Regions from separate parts of the Mus musculus genome. Here regions 1, 2, 3, 4, 5 and 7 are each reported to be linked to region 6. Evidence: microRNA targets listed by miRTarBase, many of them from high-throughput screens and not tested one by one. Region 6 holds a microRNA gene; each other region holds the end of a gene's coding sequence.

Evidence for each region. Region 6 holds the annotated microRNA mmu-miR-3085-3p (UCUGGCUGCUAUGGCCCCCUC, at 1,146-1,166, shown strand). A microRNA usually pairs through its seed, bases 2 to 8, with sites in the 3' UTR of a target mRNA and lowers its output. Matches are read on the target gene's strand: a 7mer-m8 pairs with bases 2 to 8, a 7mer-A1 pairs with bases 2 to 7 and ends in A, and an 8mer does both.
Region 1: the mRNA of Lypla1 is a reported target of mmu-miR-3085-3p. Seed matches in the 3' UTR shown: 7mer-m8 at 2,752-2,758.
Region 2: miRTarBase lists Igsf6 as a target of mmu-miR-3085-3p. Seed matches in the 3' UTR shown: 7mer-m8 at 1,767-1,773.
Region 3: the mRNA of Uvssa is a reported target of mmu-miR-3085-3p. Seed matches in the 3' UTR shown: 7mer-A1 at 3,490-3,496 and 7mer-m8 at 3,303-3,309.
Region 4: miRTarBase lists Prss43 as a target of mmu-miR-3085-3p. Seed matches in the 3' UTR shown: 7mer-m8 at 3,188-3,194.
Region 5: miRTarBase lists Mpv17 as a target of mmu-miR-3085-3p. Seed matches in the 3' UTR shown: 7mer-m8 at 2,617-2,623.
Region 7: miRTarBase lists Il11 as a target of mmu-miR-3085-3p. Seed matches in the 3' UTR shown: 7mer-m8 at 838-844.

What each region holds. Positions count from the first base shown.
Region 1 is chr1:4,844,491-4,848,567 of GRCm38, reverse strand. Lypla1 (lysophospholipase 1) reads right to left here. Exons shown (of 9, transcript NM_008866.3): 9 at 1,833-3,605. The coding sequence ends at 3,552. Among named protein-coding and RNA genes, the nearest start is that of Tcea1, 11 kb to the left of the region's middle.
Region 2 is chr7:121,062,110-121,066,109 of GRCm38, reverse strand. It overlaps Igsf6 (immunoglobulin superfamily, member 6), which reads left to right. Exons shown (of 6, transcript NM_030691.1): 6 at 593-2,043. The coding sequence ends at 649. All of the region lies in intron 4 of Mettl9 (methyltransferase like 9), which reads right to left. Among named protein-coding and RNA genes, the nearest start is that of Igsf6, 10 kb to the left of the region's middle.
Region 3 is chr5:33,414,652-33,418,719 of GRCm38, reverse strand. It overlaps Uvssa (UV stimulated scaffold protein A), which reads right to left. Exons shown (of 14, transcript NM_001081101.2): 14 at 1-3,922. The coding sequence ends at 3,829. Among named protein-coding and RNA genes, the nearest start is that of Nkx1-1, 17 kb to the left of the region's middle.
Region 4 is chr9:110,830,589-110,834,665 of GRCm38, reverse strand. Prss43 (protease, serine 43) reads right to left here. Exons shown (of 6, transcript NM_199471.1): 6 at 3,159-3,884. The coding sequence ends at 3,648. It overlaps Prss45 (protease, serine 45), which reads right to left and starts at 78. Exons shown (of 6, transcript NM_153172.1): 1 at 1-78. The coding sequence starts at 32.
Region 5 is chr5:31,138,382-31,142,458 of GRCm38, forward strand. It overlaps Mpv17 (MpV17 mitochondrial inner membrane protein), which reads right to left. Exons shown (of 8, transcript NM_008622.6): 8 at 2,282-3,469. The coding sequence ends at 3,400. Ucn (urocortin) reads right to left here and starts at 514. Exons shown (of 2, transcript NM_021290.2): 1 at 416-514; 2 at 1-152. The coding sequence starts at 139.
Region 6 is chr19:42,277,184-42,281,260 of GRCm38, reverse strand. It overlaps Mir3085 (microRNA 3085), which reads left to right and starts at 1,091; the gene lies at 1,091-1,179. It overlaps Gm34347 (a long non-coding RNA gene), which reads right to left. Exons shown (of 3, transcript XR_386718.4): 1 at 1,338-4,077.
Region 7 is chr7:4,769,873-4,773,935 of GRCm38, reverse strand. Il11 (interleukin 11) reads left to right here. Exons shown (of 5, transcript NM_008350.4): 5 at 199-1,558. The coding sequence ends at 369. Fam71e2 (family with sequence similarity 71, member E2) reads left to right here and starts at 2,666. Exons shown (of 11, transcript NM_172895.3): 1 at 2,666-2,989; 2 at 3,207-3,361; 3 at 3,440-3,695. The coding sequence starts at 2,825.

The DNA of each region.
Region 1 (4,077 bases), not on the chromosome of region 6:
GATGGTTAAGAGTCTATTGAAGCATAGTGGCACACATCTGTAATCCTAGCACTTGGGAGGCAGAGGCAGGCTAATCTTTGTGAGTTTGAGGCTAGCCTGGTCAGGCAAGCTATGTAGAGAGACCCTGTCTCAAACAAACAAACAAACAAACAAACAAACAAACAAACAGAGTCACATCTTGCTGAGAAGGCATTGAAGCAATCAGTGGGCTTGGTGGCTGGAAGCTGAGAGGTCACAACTCAACCACAGCTTGAAGCAGTGAAAGCAAACTGGGAGTGGAGCAAGGCTGTGAACTCTCATGGCCTGACCACAGTGATGTACTTCTTGCGGCTAGCCTGCCCCTCGATGTAACCTTCAGATAGCACCAGCAACTAGGGATGGAACCTCTGGGGGACAGTTCTTCTTCAAACCATCACAAAGTCTCCTACCTATATCAAAACCAGACAGGCAGAATCACAAAAGGGTAAGCTGTCAACTTCAAGTATTTAAAACCAGAAACAGAAACACATTTTTTTTTTTTTTTTTGGTTTTTCGAGGCAGGGTTTCTCTGTGTAGCCCTGGCTGTCCTGGAACTCACTATGTAGACCAGGCTGGCCTCAAAGTCAGAAATCCGCCTTCCCCTGCCTCCCGAGTGCTGGGATTAAAGGCGTGCGCCACCATGCCCGGCCAGAAACACTTTTTGACACAAAAGAATAAACCCCTGTAGTGGTAAAAGTTAGAACTTAATAAAATATGTAAGAGAAAAAATATTTGGATAACTGACATATGGTAGTTATTTAAAATTCCTAGTGATAACTACATTAAAGATGAAAACACCCAATAAAGTTTCTCAATAGTTTAAGAATTTTTAAATAGGTTATGAATTTTTTAGCAGATTAAAATTAAGTTAAAATACTTTTTTCTTCTCATGGCTAGTTCCATTCCAAGGTAATCATATCACACCAAATTTTCTCTCCCAATGCATTTTCTCATGATTGTATTATTATATCCTTCTTTCAATATAGAAGATCATTCCAAAGTAAGCCCAAATGTTACGACTTGACACTGGCTGTGCTGGTATACAACTATTATTTCAGGACTAGGGAGGAAGAGGCAGGAGGATTGAGGCTTTCAAGGCAAGATTGGGCTAGCTATAAGGAAGACTTTGCCTCAAAAAAAAACAAAACAAAACAAAAAAAAAACAAAACTTGGAAAAACATCAGGCCATGGAAACACCCATCTATAATATCAGCACTTGGGAGACAAAGGCAGGCAAGCCTGTGAGTTGTGGGCCAGCATGATTAGTTACTTCTCTGTTGCTGTGATACATCACCATGCCCAAGGCAACTTAGAAGAGGTAACTTAGGCAAGTTCCAGGCCAGCAGGGGCATGCAGTAAGATCCTGTCTTAATCAGGGTTTCTATTCCTGCACAAGCATCATGACCAGGAAGCAAGTTGGGGAGGAAAGGGTTTATTAAGCTTACACTTCCACACTGCTGTTTATCACCAAGGAAGTCAGGACTGGAACTCAAGCAGGTCAGGGAGCAGGAGCTAATGCAGAGGCCATGGAGGGATGTTCTTTACTGGCTTGCTTCCCCTGGCTTGCTCAGCCTGCTCTCTTATAGAACCAAGATTACCAGCCCAGATATGGTCCCACCCACAAGGGGCCTTTCCCCCTTGATCACTAATTGAGAAAATGCCTTACAGCTGGATCTCATGGAGGCATTTCCTCAACTGAAGCTCCTTTCTCTGTGATAACCCCAGGTGTATCAAGTTGACACAAAACTAGCCAGTACAGATCCTATCTATAAAAAAGAAAAGAAAAAAGAAACAGTACTATATAAAGCAATCGATAAAGCCAAAATTAAATTTTATTTCACATTGATAGAAACTGTGAAAAACATGACATTTTCCCACATTACAGCACACAGTCAATGGAATATTTCTTATACCAAATAAATCTTTACAGATAGAATAACTGAAGTAAATTTATGTTCTTTAAAGTAAAGCAAAATAGTAAATGATTGTTTGAAATTGTTTTAAATCCAGACATTTGGCTTCATTCTATCTAGGACATACCAAAATGATCTTCATATCAATTAGCACCTGTTTATAAAGGTGCTTCTTGGTTGGTTGGAAAACAGCAAGAAAAGCAACCGTTCAGAAATAACCATAATTTTTGCAACATATTCAACTGTGTGGTAACAGTTATAAATATGGGATATATATATAATGTTCTAACCAGTCCTTATATTAAATAATTTTCACCAGTATTTTGAACATGCTGATGATTTAAAATCAAATTATTATTTTAATATTTGTACAGGAGACTGATTATCAAAAGCTCCTTTACTTAAGATGAAAATTTCAAAATAATATGTTACCCAGATAAAAATAAAACATAAGTCTGATTGCTCATCTTGAACAGTATTTGGTTTTAAGCATAACATGTACAGAAAATGTAAACTTAAAATCGGCTATAAGATATTTAAGAAATTATATTTTGAAGCCAGTCACAAGTATTTCTAAATATGCCAAGATATTACTTCCCCTTTAAGTGTTTTACAGAAAAATAAAACCACAGATTTATTACCAGGACTGGAGAGTCTATAACTCTACAGTCTAAAGTTGGACTAAGGTGCAGTTATTTGAAATATATAAACTTAAGTAATGTTTGATTTCTTTTCATATTACCTAGGTTGGAAATACTGTATGTCTGTGTTTCGGTTTGTTTGTTTGTTTGTTTCCGAGACAGGGTTTCTCTGTGTAGCCCTGGCTGTCCTGGAACTCACTCTGTGGACCAGGCTATTGACAGAGATCCGCCTGCCTCTGCCTCCCGAGTGCTGGGATTAAAGGCATGCACCACCACGCCCGGCTATGTCTGTATCTCAAAATGTCAAAATAAAATATATGACAGAGAGGCAATATTAGTTTTCTACGGAAAATCAAAAAAGAACCTTGTTTTTTCTTGAGAAAAATTACATAGAAGGGAAAAAAAGCCTGGTCTCCCAATAGAAGGGCCATTAATTGAAGAATGCAGTATTACTTTTTGACACTCAAAAGCATTATCCCCATTATTAGGGATAATGTAATACCATCTGATTCTTAGCTATTATAGTATCATCTATGTGAATACAAACAGAAAAATACAGACACTGCATGGAGACTGAACAATTGTGGAGTAAAACTATAGTCTAACTCACAGAACTAAGAAGTCACTTACATCTTACCTGAACACATCTTCACAGAACATACTAGTAATTTTCAAATGATGTAATAAAACTGTTTGTTATCTTATTTTGCTGAATTTGAGACAAAGAATCTAGTTGCTTCACTTACCTACTGTAATACTTAGTATATTCTGAATTGTATAATACAAATATATGCATAGACACTTAAAAGGATCATATATTTCCCATGAGGGTAACATCATTTAGTCTGTATCATTGGTATGTATTTGCAAAACATTTTAACACTGCACACATTAGAAGTTCTATGGTCAGTCATGGGAAGAGGTTTATACTCTACTACTGTGATGCTGGTGAACTTCTACTCAAGGCCTCTTAGTGATGTCAATCAATTGGAGGTAGGAGCTTATCAATGAAGTGCTTGACATCCATCATTTCCTGTTTGGAAAAAATGATTTAATAAACAGCTACAGAAGTCAGAAAGTACATTTCCGAGAATGCCACTAATAAAATCCATGCAGGTGAGGATGTTTTACTACTACATAAAGGTAATGTAAGAAGGATGAGGCGCCAACAGAAAGTTCATAACATTTCTTTTCTTTTCTTTATTTTATTTTATTTTTTTGGTTTTTAGAGACAGGGTTTCTCTGTGTAGCTCTGGCTGTCCTGGAACTCACTCTGTAGACCAGACTGGCCTCGAACTCAAAAATCCACCTGCCTCTACCTCCCAAGTGCTGGGATTAAAGGCGTGCGCTACCACTGTCCGGTGTAACATTTCTTAGGATTATTATTGTACACCAAAACAAAAGCTCCCATATGATCTAGTTCCATGCACGTGCAAAGTCTGTGTTTTCAAATGCATAAATAAAACACTGGGGAATCAGGAAGTTCAGAATGATACTAACCTATA
Region 2 (4,000 bases), not on the chromosome of region 6:
AAAATGAGGCCAACCTCATCTAGATGAGGCAACTTGCAAGCTAGCCAGGCTCATGTAGTGAGACAATGACTTTTAAAAAGGAAGAATGGTAACCAGACTTTTACAGTAACTGGAAGGGTCAGGCGTGAGGATCATCACCCCAGCACTTGGGAGGCTAAGGCAGAATTACCAGCTTTAGCCAGCTTGGGCCCTATTTCAGAAACAAACAAAATCAAGATGAGCATGGTACATGTACTTACTGGGTGAAAGCAGAGGGTCTAAAGCTAGATGTGGTCCTGAGCAACCCAGTGAGTTCAAAGGGGGCTACATGATATTCTGTGTCAAAAGACCACACAACACTGAAACAAAGAGTGGGAGTGCATGCAGAGGCTTACACAAAACTGGAAATTCAAACAGAAAAAAAGTGATTACACACACACAAGCACATACATGCTCCAGCACGCATGTGTGTGCACGCACACACATAAAACACACAAAAATGATTCCAAGTATACACAAGACCAAAACTTCACAGTTACAAAGTAGCTCCTATGGAGCTATGGGATGATCCCACTGGTAACATAACCTCACACAGCTTCGTTTACTCTCACAGGAGCAAGAGGGCACTGATGAAAACAGAAAAGCACTCCCCAACCCTGGAAGAGCATAGATGTGCTTGCTTTTTACTTAAGCCACTGACAGTGCAACTCCAGAATCTACGGCAATGTGAATGGACATACAGCAATCAAGACAACATCAAAGAGAGCTGGGGTATAGCTCAGCTGGCAGAGTGCTTGCCTAGTAGGCACAAAGCCCTAGCTTTGATCCCCAGCACCACATAAACTCATCAAAGTGAAACAAGCCTGTATTCCCAACATTGTGAAGTATAAAGAGTCAGAAGTTCAAGGTCATCCCTGAGTATAGGATTAACCTGAAGTCAGAGACACATCATCTTGTCTCAAAAGCAACCGTGACCACCAAAAGAAAAGGACAGGACAAGTGGGAAAACAGCCGGCCTCGCCAGACGGCAGAGCATAAGTAGCTGTCACTAATTGTAGCTACAGAATATGAAAACCTCAAGAAAACTCAACTGGAGGACCTTTTTTCTAATTTTCCAAGAATAGTCTAAAAAGCCCCACTTTGAAGAAAAAACTTCATCTTAACAGTTTTTAAAAACTGTTACCATGTTTATGTTGTCAGTCTACCCAACATACTAGATGTGTGATAGGCATTAACTGAGAGAAGGCTTCAAGTTAAACCACAGATCTCAGTTCTGAGGGGAAATAAATACTTTCCTGAGTTGTAAAAATGATGAAACAATTAGAATCAAGTGAGAAGGGCAAAAGGAGTAAGGAGAAGAGCAATTTCTGAGTAAGAGAAACTCATTGTGAACAGTATCTTGGAACAAAAGTGATTTCTTCTGATACTGTAACGGAGCAGTGGGCAGTGAACATTCTCCAGCTGAGGTATAGGAAACAACTTGGGTTGTACCACCAACAAAACAATACTACAAGAGACCAGAGGACGACTATAAACAGGAAACCCAAAGCCTATCAGAAATGCCTCAGGAATGCAGACAACTGACTCTAGATGTCAGTGTGGTACCAAAGAACTGCAGCCCTAGTGAGCTTGAAAGGAGGGTCGGATACAACAAGGGCCTCACTATCTCACTAAGGTGACCTGAGCCAGGCATGCTGGCACACACCTTTAATCCTAACACTAAGGAGGCAGAGGCAGGTGAATTTCTGAGTTCAAGGCCAGCCTGATCTATAGATCGAGTTCCAGGACAGCCAGGGCTGTTAACAGAAAAACACTGTCTCAGAAAAAAAGGGAGTGGGGGCTTGACATGGATTGTTCTTTGAATATAAGTACCAACAAGGACACACTGCTCACTAACTTGATCACAGGTCTAGTACAGTTGCTTCTAAACAGGTACTAAATATAAATGGCACACACTCTTAAACATCACACACTGTGATACACACATACACACACACACACACACACACACACAGGTTTGAAATTTACATACACAAAAGGAATAAAATAATGGCATACACAGTAGTGTGTTTTGGTCAGATGGTTTGTTGTTTGAATTTTTATTTTATTTTTTATTCATGTGTGTGCATTTTTCTGGGTCTGTGTACAAGTGTCCACAGAAAGTCACAAAAGCCAAAAGAGGACATCAGATTCTCTGAAGCCGGATGACAGGTCGTTGTGATCTGTCCAGTGTGGGTGATGAGAAGGAACAGCGCTCTTAGCCAGAGTCATCTCTCCAGTTCCCCTCCCTCCCTTTCAACACATGTGCTCATGGAGACTATGAACGCACTATCTTTTTGCTCCATACTCCAAAATGAACCTCCTATGAATGAACCCCAAGAGGCAAATCCCCTAACTTTGAAACTACCAGCTTAGGCAAAATAAATGAACTTTTGAACCACATGGCAGAAAGGAGCAAGCACTAACTCCATCTAGGTGAGCAGAGTACTGGGTACCATTTGTTTCTGTTAGTGGCTGTGCTCTGGGATTGTTCCCAGGACACAAGTCTCTAATGTATTGGGATTGAATTTTAATGTGTTTCCCAAAGAGTAAATGTTAAAGATGGATTTTAAAATGAAACTTGGAAGGTATTTTCAGAGGAAGGACCTCTTACCTCTGACATCACATTCAAGAGGACTCAATGCTCACTGAGCACTTGGCAAGGCCTGTCTTTGGCTTACAATGAACCTGCCCTATCCTAACCCCACCAGGTATACATCTTCATGCTTTTACATACATTCTTGTGTAAGCTTGCAAGATACTATAAAGACACAGGTTAAGAGAATGAGCAAGGTCCTGAGTTTAACCCCAGAACTGTAAAAACAAGACAAGTACAACAGCTCAGAGACTGCACACAAAGCCTGCCCTGAGTCCCAAGTAATGATCTTCCCTTCTCTGTCCCCACAGTACTTTGCCTTATCTTTTATTACATTGTACCAACATTGCCTGTAACAGCTACAATCTGTACTAGAACCACAACTAGAAGCTTAGGGCTCACTTATCTGTTTATTTCTAGTGCCTGGCTCTTCCCAACACATAGTAGGCCTTCAAATACCTTTGTATGAATACAACTGAACAATAAATCTATTTTAAAATTTCTTACATTTCAACTGAGATGAGAAATAGCCCCTACACACATACTGAGCCTTCTCCAGACTACTGGCTAAATCCTTTCTTATTCTCTGGGCATCCAGAAAATGTTCCCTACTAAAGAATAAACTGTAACCTCCACTAAGACTGGAATCTTTCAGGCTGCCTGTAGTTTCTCACAACCACTAATGAGGAAATGATGACGAGACACAATTAGGGGGCTGCTGTTGCTATGACAAAGTATTGTAGAAACAGCAGAAATGTCTTTTTCACAGTTCTGGAGGCTGAAGTGGAATCAGAATGCCACAGGGGGATTCTAACTAGGCACCTCCTCCAAACTGCTGAAGGTGGAGTGCAGGCTCTGGAACCTCTAGCAAAGCAGACAGCCCTCATGAACCCATCACCTCCCAAAGGGCCTGCCTCCTAGACCCAGCACAATGGTGGGAGGCATAATACAGAAGAGGCGAATGGACCCAGAAGTCTTCTATCTATGTCCTCTACCTTGATTTGCCTGCCATGACATGCCAATAGGGTTTTCAAAATAATTCATTCCTTTTTCACGTTTGTAAAGAACCTCAAACCTGTGACCAATAGCAATATAGCTGTGCAGTCACACACACCCACAGAGAGTACACTCTGAGACAGTTAAAGGGCAGAATGAAGCCTCTGGATTCTGACCACGTTTGTTACGAGTTTAAGGCAGACTAAAAGACAATCTTGAATACTTCTGTCTGAGAAGCTGTGAACAAGTATAACCAATAGTCACAAATAAAAACAGTGAAAGAATAAGGTAAACTAGAATAAATCTAGCATGAATCAAATAGCAAAATCCATACCCATACAGTTGGCCACTGTTCAATACATGACTTAACCCTCATAACAAACTCCAAGG
Region 3 (4,068 bases), not on the chromosome of region 6:
AGTGCCTCATAGGTTGCCATTCTATGTATCCAGAGGTTTTGTTGTTTTTAGTTGTATTTGACTTCAGGATTAAAACATTTTTTCTTGATTCTTTTTTGACCCATTCACTATTTAGTAATGTGTTGTTCAATCTTCATGAATTTATATAATTACCAGGAATTTGTTTGCTATTGATTTGAAGCTTTATTGCATTGTGGCTTGATAAAATATATTAAAATTTTTCAATTTTCTGAACTTAAGATATGTTTTGTGTCAAATTATGTGATCTAGTTTATTATTTTCATTTTTTGAGACAGGGTTTTTCTGGGTATCCTTGGCTATCTTAGAACCCATTCTGTAGACCACTCTGATCTCAAACTCAAGATTTGCTTGCCCCTGTCTCCTGAGTGCTTGAATTAAAGGTATGGACTACCACCTCCTGGCCAATATGATCTATTTTGGGTATTTGGCCTGCTGTGTAGAATGTATATTCTTTAGTGTTTGGGTCAAACATTTTGTACATATTTGTTAGCTCCATTTGCTGTATGACATCACTTAAATCTGATATCTCTATTCTTTTTTGTTGTTGCTGTTCAGATGGCCTGTATTCTGGATAAAGTGGGGTACAGAAATCACCCACTAATACGGAACTGGAGTAATCTGTGTCTTTAAGTTCAGTGGCATGTTTCTTATGAAATTGGGTGTTCTAGAGCTTGGTGCATACAGAACTGTAATGTATTCATGGTCAATTGTTCTCTTGATTAAAACAAAGACTCCTTGTCCTTAATTCCACCATTTGGAAGGAAGAAGCAGGCAGATCTTTGTGAGTTCAAGGCCCACCTGGTTTATATAGCAGGCTAGGACTGAGTAGGAAGACACAGTCTCAAAAAAAAAAAAAAAAAAAAAAAAGGTAGTGAGTGACACCTGCTTCCTTCCTCTTTGCACTTGCTTGGGATACTTTTTTCTATCCTTGTGCTTTAAGGTGGCCCCGATCTTTAAATCTTTGTTCTCAATCCATTCAACAAACCAGTGTTTCTTGACTGGGGAGCTAAGGATATTATTAAAACCTTGTTCTGGTTAAAGGTGTGTGCTGGCTCCTGGTTCTGGTTTAAGGTGTGTGCTGGCTCCTGGTTCTGGTTTAAGGTGTGTGCTGGCTCCTGGTTTGCTCTTTGCATTCATCCTCTTTTGTGCTTCAGCAATTACAGCTTCACTTGTCTTCCTTGTCCTTTTTCCTCTCTTCAGTCTAAAGAATTGCTTTTGGTATCCTCTCTAGGACCAGTTTGGTGGGCATGAATTCTTTTGGCGTGTTTATACCACAGAGCATTTTCCTCTTTCCTTCAACTATGGCAGGAAGTTATGCTGGGTACAGTACTGTAAGTTGGTATCCATGGTCTTTTAGACCTTGAAGTACCCTGGTCCAGACTCTTCTGCCTTTTACAACTTCCACTGGGAATCAGCTGTTGTTTTGATGGGTTTCCTTTACATGTTCCCTGTTCCTAGTCTCTCTAGGACTTTTATTATTTTATTATATTGGATTTTGTCAAAGGTGTTTTCTGCATCTATTGAGATAATCATGTGATTTTAAAAAAATCCTTAAGTAGACACTATTTAACAAAAGTCCATGTATACGAACAGGAAATCTCCTAAGTTGTGGCCAGGGAGTTAAGAGACTATCAAAATGACATAGGTGAATGTTGTTGCCCTTAGCTGCCTCCCAGAACATGACGGTGAGAATGACTGCTAAAGATAACAGCAACTGTCTTCATATGTGATGACAAAGAAGAGATCATGAATTTGAAAAAAGGGCATGGGAGAACCTGGAGAAGGCAGGAGAGGTGGAAATGATGTGAGCACAGTCCTCTTGTATAGAATTCTCAGAAAAGCAAAAGAAACAAAGACACCAGTGATGGCATGAAGCCCTCAGGAAGCAGAGCAGAGTGAGTGTAAATGGTGCAGCCACCATCCAACAGCTTAGCCCCTCACAAGGAGGTTACTATACGCATCGGTGATGTACAGAAACAGTTGTCCACACACAAAAAAGCACAGATATTCACGGTAGCCCTAAGGTAGGAACAGACCAAACATCAATAACAAATCCATGGAGACAGGCCATGGTGGCGCCTTTAGTCCCGGGGCTTGGGAGGCAGAAGCAGGAGGATCTCTGAATTGGAGGCCAGCGTGATCTACAAAATGAGTTACCGGACAGTCAGGGTTCCAAAGAGAGACCATGTCTCAAATGAGAGGGTGGGTGTGGCAATGACAAAATATGACTCCATTCACTGTGATTTTGTGTGTGTGTGTGTTTACCTATGTGTGGGCAGATGTCTATGGGCATATGTGAATTTTCATATTATAGGCCAAAGGTTGTAGTTGAGTGTTTCCCTTCACTGTTCTCCACTCTATTTACAGAGGCGGAGTCTCTTGCTGAATCCAGAATGCACTGATTTTGGCTAGTCTCCTTACTGAGTTTGCCCCAGAGATCCTGTCTCCTCTCACCAAGGGCAGGATTACAAGCAGATTACCATAACCACTTGACTTTTATATGGACTCAGTCCTCATAATTACATGCAAGTGCTTTACCTGCTGAGCCACCTCCCTTGTCCTCTGCTGAGGTCCGTGTGTGTAAGAAGCAGGACTGAAGGACTGCTATCACAACATGGAAGAAACTTCAAAGGCAAAGAAGCTGGAACAGAAGGGCATACTCAGCCAGGAGCCATCGTACACGCCCTTAATCTCAATACTGAAGAGGCAGAGGCAGGAGGATCTCTGAGTTGGAGACCAGCCTGGTCTACACTGTGGGCTCTAAGACTGCCAGAGCTACATAAAGAGACCACATCTCAAAACAAAAACAAAAGCCGCAGACCCAATTACTCTAAATGCATAGGCATGGAAAGAGAAAGCGGGCTTCGAGGTGGTCAGGCAGTTTGTCTGAACACTAAAGTTCTGGAAGCCAGTGGAGTCACTTGTTATACACTGTGCATAACCTGGGTGACTACATGGTATGTGAGTTAGGGCTCAACACACCTGGTCCAGAGTGGTGCCAGGAGCTGGACATGTGTATTAAACAGCATATGCATGAAAGGGTGGATTGCTGAAGGCATCATAAAGTACATAGCACCACTAGGGACACACTTACTGCCCAAGGGCTGGCCAGATGGAGTGCCTGCCCCTATCCAACTCCAATGCAGGTACGTCATCCTGAAGGGATATTTTTTTCCCTCAGAGACATACTCTGCTTATGTAAGTTTGGCTGGCTTAGAATTTACAACTTAGACTAGCTTAGCTGTTTGTTTGTTTTAAAGACAGGGTTTCTCTGTGTAGCCCTGGCTGTCCTGGAACTCACTCTGTAGAACAGCCTGGCCTCAAACTCAGAGATCCACCTGCCTTGCCTTCTGAGTGCTGGGATTAAAGATGTGCCTACCATGCCTGGCAACTAGGTTAGCTTTGAACTTGTATTGATCTTCCTGCCCTGCCTGTTAAGTGTAAAAATTACAGGTGTGCGTCACCTCATCTGGCTTTTTGTTCTTGTTTCTCAAGCAGTCTTGCTCTGTTATCCATACTGGCCTAGGATTCAGGTCCTGTTTATGTCCAAGTGCTGGGATTACAGGTGAGGTACCACATGTGTGGTTAAAATGGTTGGGAATCAAACCCTGGCCTCACCACTAAACCATATCCCCTGGCCTCCTGGAGAGTATTTTAATGCATCACTACATTGTTACATACAGAAAAAACAAGCTCTGATTCTACTCAGACTTAAGTCTATTCTCCTTCCTATCCTAGTAAGCTAACGAACGGAGAAGAGCTGACGGCCAAAGGGGACCACAGCATATTCAGCACACCCACACCCTTTTACTTCAGCGCATAATTAAATTGGTTTGCAAACTTCTCGTGTTTCTTCTGGTCCATCTGGTTCATGGCAGCAACTACTCTCTGCACGGCTGCCCTATGGAGAGAGAGCACAGTAAGAAGTGACAGGACTTGACAGACTTGACAGGACTCTGGAGTCCTAGTTTGGCTTGCTGCTTCTGGACCTCATAAAGGTTTCCAGTGGAACTTCTGTAAGGTAGTGCTCAGACAGAGCAGGGGAAC
Region 4 (4,077 bases), not on the chromosome of region 6:
CCAGCGTCCAGGCCGCGCAATGACGTAGCCATACATGAATATTGTCCCTAAGGGCAGCAGAGATAGCTGCGGCGTGCTGTCACGTGCCCACATCCCAGTACGCGATGGCGTCTTCGACACATGACTGACCTGGCGCCAAGAGCCTGACCGTGCCTCTTCAGGTCCTTTGAGTTCTGGCATCTGGACCCACTCTCGTCCTTAATATGACTTCAGATCCCTTGACTGGGACTGGGTCTTAGATTCCAGATCTATGACAGCACCCCTAGTGCTCTAAGATCCTGGCGGTGCATCTGGAGCCTAACTGGTCAAAGATCCCTGGGCTGGGATTGGCATCTTGATGCCCATCCAGCCTCAGGGTATACCTTGTTCTCAGCCTGTTGCACAAGGAGTTTCACGGTCACTATTAACAAGGACCGGGAAAGCCCAAGAAAGCAAATAACAATATGGTTAGGAAAAACGGTTTTGAGAACGTAATAGCTGAACTGGATCTAAGACTAAATCAAGATAGGAGCAGGGTGCTGAATAAAGAAGGCAGCTGTCCTCTTCCAAGGACCAGCAATATGACAGGATGTTACCACTGACAAATACTGGCTAGTTTTTGTTGTTGTTGTTGGTTTTGTTTGTTTCTTTTTGTTTTGTTTTGTTGCCTGGCTTTGGGCATAAAGAGAGCTTGTCACAAAAGGATGATCTTTGTGGATTTACTGAGCCTAGCAGAGACTGGGAAGCGATCATCAAAATTCCTCTGTTTCCTTTGTTTATTCCAGGTGTCCAACAGAGCTCTGGGGACCCCATCACCCAGCCTGTTCGTTTACATTTTATTTTTATGTGTATGAGTATTTTATCTGTATGACTGTCTGTGCACCACAGTATGTGCCTGATGCCCACAGAAGCCAGAAGGCGGCATCAGATCCAATAGAGTTGGAGTTAGAAGCCACCATGTGGGTTTGTGTGAATCAAATGTGGGCCCTGTAGAAGATCTTAATCCCTGAGCCAACTCTCCAGGCCCCCAGCCTGGCGTTTAAATGAATCTGAATAAGTAAACGGTGCCAATCGCATATCGAGGCAAGCAAGAGAAGGTTGCCTTCTGCCGCTGTGTGGTTCCCAACGTTAGGCCTCCTCCATACAGCTGGACCAGCAACGCCTGGGAACTTGCTAGAAATCTTCATCCTCAGGCCCTGGCCAAGACTTCCAGAGTTGAAGTTGAAAACTCCCTTAGTGAGACCAATGATATGGATTTGTTTGTTTGTTTGTTTGTTTGTTTAATTTTTTATGACAGGGTCTATGGTGGTTTGAATAGATTTGCCTCCCCCCTCACCCCCATAGATTCAGGTGTTTCAATGTTTGACCATGGAGAGTGGCACTTAGGAGGTGTGGCCTTGTTGGAGGAAATGCATCACTGTGTGGGCGGGCTTTGAGGTCTCCTGTGCTCAAGCTCCGCCCAGGGTGGAATCAGAGCATCCTCCTGGCTGCCTGCCAACTAGAGTCTCTTTCAGCTGCCTGTGGATCAAGATGTAGAACTCACCGTTCCTATAGCACCATGCCTGCCTGCCCACTGCCATGCTTCCCGCCTTGGTGGTAACAGACTAAACCTCTGACGCTGTAAGCCAGCCCCAATTAAATGTTTTCCTTTGTAAGAGTTGCCTTGGTCATAGTGTCTCTTCACAGCAATAAAACCGTAAGACAAGGTCCATTTCTGTGTAGTCTTGGCTGGCTTTGAACTTGTGCTAATCCTCCCACCCCTGCCTCCCAAGTGCTAGGATTACAAATGTGTCCCATCACTCCTGGCAGCAATGTGGATTTTAACAAACTCTCAGCGTATGCTCACACAGGTGAAGGGTGGACCATGAGGCTAAGAGTGGGACTATAAAATGGGGGAGAGCTACCTGTCCACATAGAATAACGCGCTACAGTGAGCAAAATTAAAATTGTTAGTCTACGAAGAGCTGGCGGTTTCTGGAGAGTGGAGGTGGTTTGGGTTTTTGTTGTTGTTTTGACACAGCACTTCCTGTATCCCAGGTTAGCCTCAAACTCCATCTGTAGCAAAGGAACAACTGATTGTCCTCGCCTCCATCTTTCAGATGATGGAGATACAGGCAAACACTACCTCAGCAGGTCAATGTCCAGTGATAATTTTTTTAAAAACATCTTTGGTGATGTATGTGTTCATGACAGAGATGCGTCTGACAGCAGGGTGTGGAGGCACACACCTTTAATCCCAGCACTAATTCCAGGACAGCCAGGGACCCCATAATGATATCCCATCTCAAAAAACAAACAAACAAACAAACAAAACTGGGGGTGGAGGATGGGTTCATCCTTCCTTGGGCAACGGTTGGAACTGAATGCCCACAAAAGCCATAGAGGACAGAGGATGAAACAGAGACCCCAGAAAGACGAAAGTGGGAGAGGGAGATTGGAGGAGACCTGTGAGCAAATCAGTATTCAGTCAGGGATACCAAAACCCAGTGTGAGGTAGAAGAGCTGCATACAGTGTAGTGAATCTTTCTTAAAATCCTCCTGACTTTGGGAACACGGCCTTTGAAAATAAAGTCACATTAATAACCAGAAGAAAGACTTTTTCTCATGAATCAGTTTCATCCCTGCGGGCCCTCCCGCCCCCACCCCCACCCCAGTTCCTGCCTCCCCTGAGCTGCTCCTGGCTGGCTGTAAAAGTAGTGAAGCCCAGCAAAAGTTCCTGCCCAGGCACACAGGGAGCAGGACTCAGCTCTTCTGTCTCTAAGAGGAACTGCGAGTACTTCCCTAGGTAAATGGGGTCCAGTTCTCTAAGCCAAACACCCCAGGTGAGCAGAGCTTCACAACACACAGGACGTTCTCCAAACATTTATTCAGTTTACGTTTGAGATCTCCCCTCTCCAGAACCTCAACGCAACTTGGGATGACCCTGGATGTGACCACTGAGGTACTGAGGAAGGGGGCCAGGCAGGACTGCCTTCTTGTGAAGCCTATGAGGCAGAGGCTATGCATTCCCTGGCAGATTCCCAAGTGGGTACAAGATAATTTCTGCCAGCTCCCAAATACTTAAGTGCCAACCTCATACCTCTGTAGGGAGTTGCCAGTGTTCCCTTCCTCCAACCCTCTCGTTCTCCATCTCTCTCTCTTTTCTCTCTTTTTCTTTTCTTTTTTTTTTTTTTTTTTCTTTTTTGAGATAGGGTTTCTCTGTGTAGCCCTGGCTGTCCTGGAGCTCACTTTTTAGATTTTTAGACTGGCCTCAAACTCAGAAATCCGCCTGCCTCTGCCTCCCGAGAGCTGGGATTACAGGTGTGTGCCACCACACCCGGTTGTTCTCCCTCTCTTTCAGTGGTCACTAAGCTGTGTGATGTAAACAGAGCCAGGTGATATTATCTCTTCTTGGCAGATGTCCCCAAGATCATGGAGTCATGGTTCTCCACCTAGCAGGCAAGCTGGCCCTCTAGTCCAGGTTAGTCCACCAAGTGTGGGTGTATCATGAGGCAAGTAACCAGAACACCAGTCAGAGCACTTTGCAGCCCCCAATCTCCCTGCCACAGTCTACTGTGGCAATAGCTGCTAACTGGAATTTGAAGAAAGGGCAGAAAGACAGAAAGGGAAAATGGAGAAAAGGCACAGTGGGAGACTCAAAACTCTCAGGAAGACAGGGCCTAAGGAGGTCACAGAGCTACCAGGAGGGCCAAGGGAAACACCAGAGACAGGTATAGGACCAAGACTCCCATGGGATCCATACGGGAAGCCTGACTTAAGACATAGCTGACCCACTCATTGTACTCAGCGATGTCTGTGTAAACTGAGAGGACAGGGACTCCATTGCAGTTGATGCCCCAGCTCATGATCCCCACCTGGGTCCACGTGTTGTCAGATTCGCAGACAAGGGGGTTCCCAGAATCTCCCTGGAAAACAAGAGGAAGAAACCAATGGCTGGGATGGAAGAGAGAGCAGACTGCATTGCAAGGTGCTGGGACACTTTCTTGGGCACCCAGAGCCTCTCCCAGGCCTAGCTTCTTTTAATGACTGAGATCTAACAGATGAAAATCTCCTATGAAAACATCAACATTCTCTAGGCAACGATACGTGCTCGGTGAT
Region 5 (4,077 bases), not on the chromosome of region 6:
CTCCAGGGCTCCATCGCAGATTCGGATCCTGGACCCCAGTTGCCGCCGCAGCCGCTGGGCTCCACTGGCTGCTCTCCGGGCGAAGCTGTGCCAAGAGCAGCAACGCCACCAGGAGCGTAGCGCGTCCCCTCTGTATCATGGTGCCGCCTGCCCTGGACACACAGGGGCAGCATAGGGTGAGGTGCACTTGGAGCAGCCGCAGGTAACACGAGCCCCTTGGCGCGCACGCCCAGTGCCCCTGCCGAGACCCTCCAGCTGTTGCCTGGTGTCCACATCCTGCCCACCAGCCCTAGGCGCTGTGCCAGTCCAGTTCCACCCCTCTCTCCCTCCTTCCCTCCCGGCAGGTCACAGTGGGTGGGCTGAGTGCAGAGTCTTGGTGGTAAGGGAGTCTGGATCGTTGCTTCAAGCCACTCACAGGTTATCGGAGTGTCTGCCCAGTGCAAGATGGAGCTCCACTCTGTCCCCGGGGACGGGCTGAAGACGCCTTGGGGAGCACGGGGTCTGTCCCGGGACCGCCGCCAGCCTTATATAGCACCAGGACAGCTCCGACTGACGTCAGCGAAGAACATGAACTGATTGTAGAAACAATGACACCGGCAGCTTTGAGTCCAGCAGCTTCGAGCCCCCAGAGGGGTGCGTATCCTGACTTTGTGTCCCTGGAGCTATCTTTGGAAGCACCCTGGCTGTAGAGGGAGAAGCTGGCAGAGCCATAAAGATAGATCTTCCGGATGCAGAGTCCTTCCCCGACACAGAACCACCAATGTCTCCAGAGCAGGAATAGTCAGGGGTTGTTTCTCTTCTCAAGTAGAGAGGGAGGACTGTGGAGCTGTCCGTGGTTCCGAACTTCTTCACAGCCACAATCTGGACAGAAGTTCTGGGGAGAAGCCTGGGCTGCTTAGACACGGTCCCTAGGCCGGCTACTGGGTCCTCAAATTGAGATCAGAAATGCTCTGCTGGCAGGGGCTCAGACAACACAGTCCCACCCAAAGGCTCTCCAATACAGTGGGTCTGACCCATTCTACTGACCATTGTACAGCAGTACAAACTAAAATCTACAGGTGTCAGAATGGCATAAAAGGGTGTTTGGCTTTCAGAACTTAACGTACCTCCTGAGTTTGGCAAAGTCAGCTTTTTCCTAGGAAACACAGAAACAGTACTATTATACCTTTTTACCTTCTAGGTCAGGAGCTGGGGTGGTGCTGGTGCACTCCTTTAATCATAGCACCCAGGAGACAGAGGCAGGCAGATCTCTGAGTTTGAGGCCAGACTGGTCTACTGAGCTGGTTCCAAGACTACACAAAGAAACCCAGTTTTGAACACACACACACACACACACACACACACACACACACACACACACACACACAAACACACACACGAAAACGAAGAAATCACTAGGTAGAAGTGAGAAAACTTTGGCCCAAGTTCCTCCTCTGCCACCAGCTTGTGTAGTCAGGTCCCTCACTTCTGAAACCATTGGCGTCTGTCTTTGTAAATGAACAGCCTCTGCTTCTTTCCAGTTACAGACAGGTCTGTGCTCTTCTGAAGGGTCTTATTCATAGCCACTGCAGATCCCAGATAATAATGTATCTATTTCTGTGCCTATAAAGTCCCTGACAGGGTCTCGAAAGGCACTAGGACCTAGAAAAGTTAAGCGTGATAGCCACTCTAGTCTAGGGATGTTGCTTAGTTGTTAGAGCACGTGACTAGCATCCACAATGCTGAGTTCAAGTCTCAACTCTAGACAGGAAGTTGTATCTATACAGAGTGGGGACGTGTGCTAGCTATTGGGACATAGGTGTAAAGTTGGCAAGGTCATATTATTCTACAAATATCTGTGAGGAATATACTATGTGGTGGGAATGTAGACAGTCATGCTGCATAGCAACCTTTTAGTCAGTGATGGCAACACACAATGGTGGCTTCAGATAATCATAGCGGAGCTGAAATATCCCTACCACATAGCAGCATTAGTTCTTATGTCTCAGTTTGGTGCATTATTCATGAATCTGCAATAATGCTGGTGGAAACAGACCAAGCTGGCAGTAATATGGAAGTATATCTTGTGCAATTATGTACAGCGTATACATCTTAATGACAGTGTTCTACATATGAAAAAGCTCTCTGTAAAACAGTATACCATGTCAGACTGGCAGCAGAAAAATACACCACATGCTTGTGCACGAAGAGGCCATGTTGAGCAACTGATTGTTACCATCTGCATAAGTATACTCCTTATGTGTGCACAGTGACAAAACTGCTAAAGACACAATTCTTGTTTGATTTTAAAAAAAGATTTATTTATTTAATGTATATGAGTACACTGTAGCTGTCTTCAGACACACCAGAAGAGGGCATCAGACCCCATTACAGATGGTTGTGAGCCACCATGTGATTGCTGGGACTTGAACTCAGGACCTCTGGAAGAGCAGTCAGTGCTCTTAATCACTGAGCGATATCTGTAGCCCAAGACACAATTCTCTAATCCAGCATTTGAGAAGCTGAGAAGCTGAGGCAGGATTGTCACTAGGTTGAGACTGACACAGACTTTCATTTTTTTTTTTTTGGTTTTGTTTTTTTGTTTTTTTTCCTGACACAGGGTTTCTCTGTATAGCCCTGGCTGTCCTGGAACTCACTCTGTAGACTAGGCTGACCTTGAACTCAGAAATCTGCCTGCCTCTGCCTCCCAAGTGCTGGGATTGAAGGCATGTACCACCATGCCTGGCTTCCAGGACACAATTCTATATTAATTAATTAATTATTAATTAATTAATTAAATATGAGTACACTGTAGCTGTCTTCAGACACTCCAGAAGAGGGCGTCAGATCTCTTTACAGATGGTTGTGAGCCACCATGTGGTTGCTGGGATTTGAACTCAGGAGCTTCTGAAGAGCAGTCAGTGCTCTTACAGGCTGAGCCATCTCTCCAGCCCCCAGGACACAATTCTTATAGTGTGTCCCCATCAGCTAAGGGCCAGAGTGACAGCAATATTATAAATGTCTTAGTGGTTAAAGTGAAATGTGCCACTTCAGAGTGGTCACCCTATTCTGATCAGCAACCCCATAGCATGGAAGCTGACACACTCCTTCCTTTTAAAGATTTCATTGTGTGCTTAATTACAAATGCGTGTCTATTCGTGGGTATATACATGTTTGTGCAGGTGCTTCAGAGGCCAGAAGAGAACATCAGATCTCCTGGAGCTTGAGACATAGGGAGTTGTGAGCCACCCGATGTGGGTGCTTGGAACCAAATTTAGGTCCTCTGTAGAGCAGATAATCCGTGCTTCTAACAGCTGAGTCACCGCTCCAGTCCTGATGTGGTTAGTTTGAAGAAGCTGTCCAAGCATTCCAGGGTCACGGTGCATCAGTACAAGGTGCAAACCATGGAACAAGGCACGCTTAGAACTGATGTGCCTTCCAGGATAGGTAGGAGTTCCAGACAATAGCAACACACTGGACAACAGCCAACCTAAGGGACAAGAATGCTACTGTGAAGAAGAGAAGGAGCAGGGTAGGGAGAGCAATGGAAAGGACTTACGCAGGAAGTTCCAGGTTTGGGCTGTGTTCCTCTGAGCCCCATGAGTAGGGACTGCAGCTTCAGACCAGGAGACAACCAGTTCAGTCCTGCTCTATCTCAGAGCTCCGCCTGTCAGATGAAGGCCTCACAGCTCACTCCTTTTCCTTATTAATTTTGTCTATGTGTGTATGTATGCACATGAAAGTCAGAGGACGACTCTGGGGAGCCGGATCTCTCCTTCTACCATGTGGGTTCCAAGGCATGGGCTCAGGGCATCAGGTCTGGCAGCAAGGGCTCTCACCCACTGAGTCATATCACCCATCCAGCAGCTCTCTTTCAATAAATGACTCGTCTACCTAGACCTTTCCAAATATATCTGTATACCTTATATCAGCCAAGATTTCACTTCTTTTTATTTTATTTTTTTTTTAAAGATTTATTTATTTATTTATTATATGTAAGTACACTGTAGCTGTCTTCAGACGCACCAGAAGAGGGCATCAGATCTTGTTATGGATGGTTGTGAGCCACCATGTGGTTGCTGGGATTTGAACTCCGGA
Region 6 (4,077 bases):
GTGAGAAGGTTAAGTCTCCTACACCCAAGAAGCTTATATTGGAGGAAAAAAATACCAGGTTAAACTTTATGGAAGATGGGCAGACTCTGAACCAACCCAACATCACCTGCCCGCCACTCACCAGGCATCCAGATATTGGAGCTGGGTGCCCCTGGCTCCAGACCTTCATTTCACTTCCTGAGCGTTATCAGCCACGGGTGAGTGGGTGCAAGCTTCAGCAAGGCTTAGGAGGCCACTGTCCCCATCCCCTTAACTCCTCCACTTCCTCATCCTGAGGCTCATGGCCTCTGAGCCCTCGTTGTCCACTTTGGAGCACACACACCCATCTTTCTTCTGTCCCATAGACCCACTTAGGTCCCTGACATCTTTTTTTTAGGTTATGCTCCAAGTTGTAAAAAGTAAAAAAAAAAAAAAAAAATGGAAAAGCCACCTTCAGGGCAGGTGAATAACACATGATCAACTCTAGCCAAGGCAGAAGTGGGATCCTTCCCATCCTTCGTTCCATTTTTCAAGAATACCCCCTCAAAACGATCTTTAACAATTTTAATAGTAATAATAACTACAACAATAATATCGCTTTTACTCTGTCTGATGCAGTCTCCTCCAGGAATGTTCCCCCTCAGAATGACAATAATGGCTTTCAGTGAGTGAGCTCAGCGTGTCTAGGTTGGACATAAACTCTTTACAAGAACCAACTCGCTTAATCCCTGCAGCAATCCCTAGAGGAAGAGGCTATAATTATAGGGGTGGGTTAAGTGGTTCCTCGGGATCACACAGCTGGGATAAGCAAAGGTGGGGTGGCGTCCCAGACAGTCTGGCTGTCTCCCACTAGCATGCTTACCTGCCCTGCCGTGCCTACCCACTTCATTCAGGTAGCCAACTGGTTTGGGCAGAAGCCACAGTCTCTCATCCTTCTCCAAGTCAAGGGCTAAGTGGGAAGGGAGAAACAGAGTTCCCAGAGAGCTGAGAATTGAAGCAATCCTACCAGAGTCACACCAAAGCCTGCAGGAAGAGCAGGCCACACCCACATGGAGAGCGCCCTCACCAGGCCAGCCTGGTCACTTTCTCCAGGTCACCTCCATCACCAACAGTCCCAACTCTGGGAAGGTGCCATTCCGAGGGCCAAGAGTCTGAATATGAGTCACTCTGGCTGCTATGGCCCCCTCCCAGGGCTTGGGCATCACATCCCTACCAAGAAGGCTGGACCAAGCAAGAACTCCAACACAGCCTCTGTTAGAGGAACATGGAGACAGAGAACATTTCATCATTTCATCATCTCAGGGTTCCAGAGATTCCAGACTCCAACTTCAGGAGGACAGTCAAATCCCTCCCCTTACCTCTCTGCCCATGGTCACCGCTGTCTCATTCCTTTTGTAAGCTCAGTAGCCAAGCCACAGGGAGTCAGAAACCTGCCAAGGGCTGAGGTTGTGTTTCCTTGGCAACAGGAACATCCTGGAAGGAGGAAGAAGGAGGCAGGCAGCTAGGGCTAGTTAACAGGACAGATAATCCCACTGTCCTCTGCCCTCAGCAGCTCTGCCCTCTTACACAGCACTGTGGAACAGTGGTTCAGTCAGAGGGTAGACCATCAGAGGAGAAATGAGAAGCAAGAAGACACAAGAGCATCCTCGGGGAGAAGTTAACATTTACGGAATGCCCACTATATGCCAAAAACTGCATAGATGTCTGCATTAATCCTTACTCCATCCTGAAAGGCAAATGTTACTGGTCTACTCTATTACCAAGGAAACTGAGGCTTGGGAAGAACAAGCTACACAGGGTCAGAGTTCACTGAAGTGGCTGACGATGTAATTTAGACCCCAAACTGTCTACTCTGCAGCTTGGGTTCCTAAGCTGTGTGCTTTCAGTTTCCAGGTAATTTGCACCTGAGGGAGTTATGTAACCAACTGGTCACTGATAATCAAATACAGACCACTATGTGCTGCACATTATTCTAGTGGCTTTGGATATTTATCGGTGAACAACACTGGCAACATCTCTTCCATGTTGACATTTGGCAAGGCATGCTCGTATAAACATGACGGTAAAAGTCTTGTGTGTTAGAAAATCCTGAGTGGGGGAAGAGGGGAGACATTAAGGGAGTTTGTGAGCACCTGGGTAGAGGCAAACTGTTACTTTAGGTAGGGTGGGCCAGAGTGCTCAGCCCCTAGAGGAAAAAAAAAAGATATTTAAGATTTAAAGTATTTAAGATTTAAAGTAGGTAAAATATACTTGAATCTCAGTTTCTCGTCTCTAAAATGAGTATGAAGCTTACATTTATTAAACTTGAGTTTTAGCAGTAACGGATACCTCACAGTTATTGTATTAAACTTGCCACAGTGTCTGGCATGGAGTGCACCTCCTATAAATCAGAGATCTCATTATTAATAAATACCACAATTGATGATGGAGCCAGGTTCTATTTGATGTCAAAGCTCCCATGCTCCTCAACAGTTGTGCCTGGAACAACCAGAGGTGTGCACTGTCTGCCCTGGGATGCTGCAGGTAAGTGAGAAAGAGACAGCAGGACCACAAATAGCCATCAAGGGGCAGAGGCCAGCTCCCTGGCCCTGGCATATGCCAGGTTCAACATAGTGCTCACGGGGCATCATTGCCAAAGATATAAATAAAGTAAATAGAGCTGGGTAGGCATGAGGTCGGCTGGGCCGCACAGAGCAGAGGCTGCTGGAAGCCACGGCACTTTTCTAGACAGTCTCCATCAGCACTAACAGACTCCCCAAGCAGCTAGTGCCAAGGCACCTGAGAGGTCTTCTAGTTCTGCCGCATGCTTTGCAGACAGGGAGACTGAGAACCATAGATTCTGCGACCCCGTGGGTCCTCCTCGGGGTCACACTGCCCCTGGCTCTTTTGAAGACCTCAGGCCAGGGTACGACTCCCCACTTCCTTCCCCAGAAAGCTCCACTGTTTCAGAAGCATGCGACCACGGTTTTAAGACTAAGTGGGTGGAACTGATTCCTCCCACCAAGTGACAAAAAGAACCACACGCTTGATCCTGGAAGCACTCCAAGACAGAGGCACCCTCTCTAGGAGACCCCTGGGCAGCTGGGAGTAAGGAGGCAGGTCAGGAGCTAGCAAGGAGGGGAGCAAGGAGAATCTGCCACCATTCCTAGGGAGCTCTGCTCAGAGCCCATCCATGCCACCACACCAGTTTGTGAGGAAGAAGAAAATCCAACTGAGGCCTCTCATTATCATAAAGGTAGCTCCTCTCGCATGGCCAGTCCCAGAGCAGCAACAAAAACTCCTACCCTCCGAGTGGCTGGATGCCCCTCCAAGCTAAGGGCTGACTTCCTTCCCTCTGTGGAAGGAGAAACACACCCCAGCTCCCGACTGCTCCTGAATGGCAGGAGAACAGGTAGAAACCAGACAGAGGAAGGCAAACCAGATGTACCCATCTCTGCTGTTCCAGGAAGATGCAGAGAAGAGAAAGGGGGAAAATTTGGGGTTGGCTCTGGGACACTGTCATTAGAATAGTCACAGTAGCTCAGTCCAAACAAAAGGTTTCCCATGCACCAAATGCCACAGCACTTCTTAGAGGTCTAGAACTAGGTCCCTGTGGCCTTCCTTCTATCCATCTACACTTGAATTTTTCTCTTCACTAAGAGACTATAAAATCAAAGGCTGAGATTTCCTGCCAGACAATCCACCTCCACACTCGGAAGTAAGGTACAGTGTCTCCCCCTCTGAGCCTCAGGTTCTTATCCGCAGAGTGGGGTAGTAACAGCCTTGAGCAACGGCAGCGAGGCTCCCTCCAGGAAAGGGCTCTGCGCAACACCTAGCTGATGAAATGCGGTATTATTATTATGAAATCTGTTCCAAGGCCTTCAACTCCTGGCTGCACTTCTTGTGGTGCCAGACTTTACAACAATCCATAAGTCATTAACCAGGCAATATTAGACCTAGAAGACTTCTTCCCAGCAAGACACATCCATCACTCAGTTACAAATGCTGAACTCATTTGGGGATGGGATAAACAGAGTCTCTGCTTTGAAGAGTCCAGGCCTGTGTTGTGAATGGCTCAGGAGAACACAGGGCCAATCAGTGCTCGTTCATTCACCTGCC
Region 7 (4,063 bases), not on the chromosome of region 6:
GAACTCAGGACCTCTGAAAGAGCAGTCAGTGCTCTTAACCACTGAGCCATCTCTCCAGCCCCCCAAACTGCCTTTCCTATGTATCCTTGAATCCTGATCCTTCCGTGCTGGGATTACAGGCGAGAACACCCAATACGGCTTCAGTTTTCTAAACCCCAGACCCTTGCCTTTAGCTAACCTTCTTTCTCTCTTCAACAGATGTCTCGCCTGGCCTTGCCCCAGGCAGCCCCAGACCAACCTGTGATCCCCCTGGGCCCTCCTGCCTCAGCCTGGGGAAGCATCCGGGCAGCTCATGCCATCCTAGGAGGGCTGCACCTGACCTTGGACTGGGCCGTGCGGGGCCTGCTGTTGTTAAAGACTCGACTGTGACTCGGGACTGAAAACCACCATCGATACCGCCCTTTAAAACCAGATCTTATTTATTTATTTATTTTGGTACTTGGAGGGGGGCATGATGATCAGGGGCATGCCACACCCCAAACAACCGCCCCACACCCAGCTAGACAGTCTTTCCAGTAGACCTGGGTGAGGGGGATCACCTGTGGCTTATTTATACTTATTTATTTAAACAATTGGGGGGTGGGTGGGTGCATCTGAGACCCTGAAGAGCAGGGAACTGAGATCCTGGGTTCTGGGGTCTCTATGAAATCTGTTCACAGTGTCTTCCTCACTTCCTACATTATTTATTAAACGATTACTTTTTATATTAAGAGGAGGAAGGAGGGAAGCCGGGCGTGGTGGCGCATGCCTTTAATCCCAGCACTCGGGAGGCAGAGGCAGGCAGATTTCTGAGTTCGAGGCCAGCCTGGTCTAAGAGTGAGTTCGTGAGTTCCAGGACAGCCAGGGCTACACAGAGAAACCCTGTCTCGAAAAACCAAAAAAAAAAAAAAAAAAAAAGAGGAGGAAGGAGGGGGAAAAAGGAAGCCTGGGGTTTTATACCAAAATGTGAGTTTTTTTTTGTGAGTCAGAGAAGTGAGAGGATTTAAATACATATCTATTTAGAGGTTATTAGCAGGAGTATGCCGAAAGGATCGGAGTCTAAACTGGTACCCTAGCATTTCAAAGGTCCTCAACAGATACTTAACAAAAAGTTCCAGAGCATCACCTTATAACTAATAGCACCTGTATGGTACAGAGCTGTAAGGTACAAGGTTTTTTGTTTCAGCAAAATTCACGATGACCAATGGGAAACAATCTAGGCTTTCTGGGGGGCGGGCAGGGGATGGATGAATAAAGCTAGGGATACATCCGCATGATGAAGTTCTAGCTCGCCAACCATAAAAAGGCAAGTTCCAGGCGAAGACTGCTTTAGATATTGAACGTCTCTGCGACCCAGGAGCAGCAGATGGTAGAACTACTCTCCCTATACATGAGTATGGACTGTTTGGTTTTTCAAAATGGAAACACCATGATGTTGACGATAGCTGCCTCAGGGCTGAAAACAAGCAATGGCACAGTGGGTGACTGTTACTGTTTGTGTTTGCATTTTCCAGAGTTTTCACCATGACTGTATTTTGCAGGACACATTTATAAACATTAATAAACACTATTTTTAGAATGGCACTGTACCAGTCTCTGTCTCACCCCACTGTACATGCTGTATAACCTCAAAATAGGACTCAGAAGGGACCAAGAAAAATGGTTATTTGAGCCCATGTCCTGGGTCATACTGAGCATACACACACACACACACACACACACACACACACACACACACACACATATATATATACACATATACATATATCTCCTTAAGAAGTTGTCTTAGATTCAGAAAAAGTTGCCCTGCTTTACAAAAGAGAGGGAAACTGAGGCTCAAGGGGAGGAATTGTTTTCTGTAGGGTATTTTGCCTTGGTTTTGAGTCTTACCTCACAGAGATCTGCCTGCTTCTTCCAGAGTGCTGGAATTAAAACTGTGTGCCACCATGCCCAGCTTATTGCTCTTATGCTCATACAGGTAGTTGGCCTTATATCATTATGGTACTAGGACTGAACCCAGGGCCTTGTGCATGCCAAGCAAGCACTTTAACACTCAACCGCATCTCCAAGCCCTTTGCTTTATTTTTCTATTTATTATTTTGAGACAAGGTATTGTTACATAGCCTAAGATGGTTTCAAACACGATTTTCCAGCCTCCCATCCCTAGTGCTGGGATAACAGCTGTGATGGCCATGCCCAGCTATGGTCGTCCTTTCTTTACAGTTCAGTGTTTAGTTGATTCGAGAGTTGTGGGGACACACACACACACACACACACACACACACACACACACGAGCCATTAGGAAACTGAGGCTCAATGTGGGGTTGGGTCTTCCTGAGAGTAAAGAGGAGGGTCACAGGCAGAACTAGGCCTGTGATTCAAGCCTTTGGGTTAATGATCCCTATGGAGGTTCTAACACAGATCCCTGGGGGGGGCGGGGAGGGGGGAGCGGGGGGGGGGGAGGGCTGTGTCATCACAATCTTGGGTCCAGGAGATGGAGATGTTCTGATAGAGGTCTGAGTCACCTATCCCAGCCCTCAAAAGAGTCCACACCTTATTCTGGAATGGTGAGGCCCCTAGGCAGTTCCCAGGAAGCAGCCTCTAGGGTCTAGTGAGGTCACAAAGCCCCTCTCAAAGGTTCCACCCACGGCCTAGTGCTGACTACCTCTCTGCAGGGCCATGGCCATACCAGAGTCTCTCGGCCCTGGGGACACTCCACTTTCTGTCACTGCTGAGCGCCTGACATCCTTGAAGCCCAAGGGTCCAAAGCTGGTGGGCTGGGGTGGGGGTCAGGGCTCCACTTGGGTCCAGGATTCTTGAATCTATACACCCTCACCCGCTGTTATGGCACCCGCTGTTATGAGGCGGCTGTGGCGCTTTTTTTTCCCTCCGCCTCCCCCGGAGCCTCCGAAGTGGGTTCCCATCCTTGGAGAGATGCAGAAGACCCTTCAGATGGCCGAATACCTGCCCCTCCGCCCGCTGCCCATGTTCGAGAGTAACTTTACCCAGGTCCCCAGCTCCCTGAGCCCCCTGGAAATGGGGGAGGAAGTCTGAGACACAGGAAGAGAGAGGGAACCCCTGGGCAGAGTGGGTTGAACAGGGATTTGGAATTTGAACTCCTGTAGGTAGAAGATGGGTTTGGAAAGAAAGGAGGCTCTCAGGTGAGGGATGCTGGAGGAATGTTGGAGAAAGAACTGGTCCCAGCCCTGCTCCCTGGCTGCCCCAGGTAACCAACAATGGGACTCCTGCGTTATTACACAACAAATCCAACAAGCTGACTATGGGTGTCGCAGCATCCTTGCCTGGCCTAATGCTGCCTGACATTCTGTTGATTGCTCGGCCCCCCGAGGACGAGGAGTGCTCCAGTCTCATCCTAACCAGGTATGTTCCTTGAGCCCCATCCTAGCTCACTCCACTCCATCCTATCGCACTAGCTACCTTGTCTCCCACCTCCCGCAGGATGATCCCACTAGACCTTGCCCGCCTGTATGTCGATGATCTGCCCACCTGGCGACTGAAACTGCGTCTGAGATCCGGCCGTCATTATTTCCTGGCACTGGATGCCCCTGAACATGAGCTGGCCTTTCTGTTTGACCGCTGGATTCGCCTCATCAACATGCTTCGAGGGCCTAAATTATCCAAGACACCAAAAACAGAACCCTCCGTGCTGGAAATACCCCCAGAAGTCACTCTTGCCTCCACTTGGCACTTTCAGGTGAGGATTCAATGAACAAGGCCTGGAAACCACCGTCCAGATTCCACAGAGAACAGGGGACCCACAGCCCACAGGCTAGCCGCTCCCATCCCATTGGAAAGGAGCTGGGATCCTAGAATGCTGTATTTAAAAGGAGAGTCTGACCTCATGGGACCAAGGAAGAAAAGATGGGGAGGAAGGTGCAGGCTGGGCAGGTGAGACAATCATGGGGTGGAGAAAACAGTTCAGTTGGTAAAGATATTATTGCCTAGGAACTATGAGAATCTGAGTTCAAACCCTCAGAACCCTCATAAAAATGCTGAGCGTTGCCAAGAGTGGTGGCACACATCTTTAATCCCAGCCCTTGGGAGGCAGAGGCAGGTAGATCT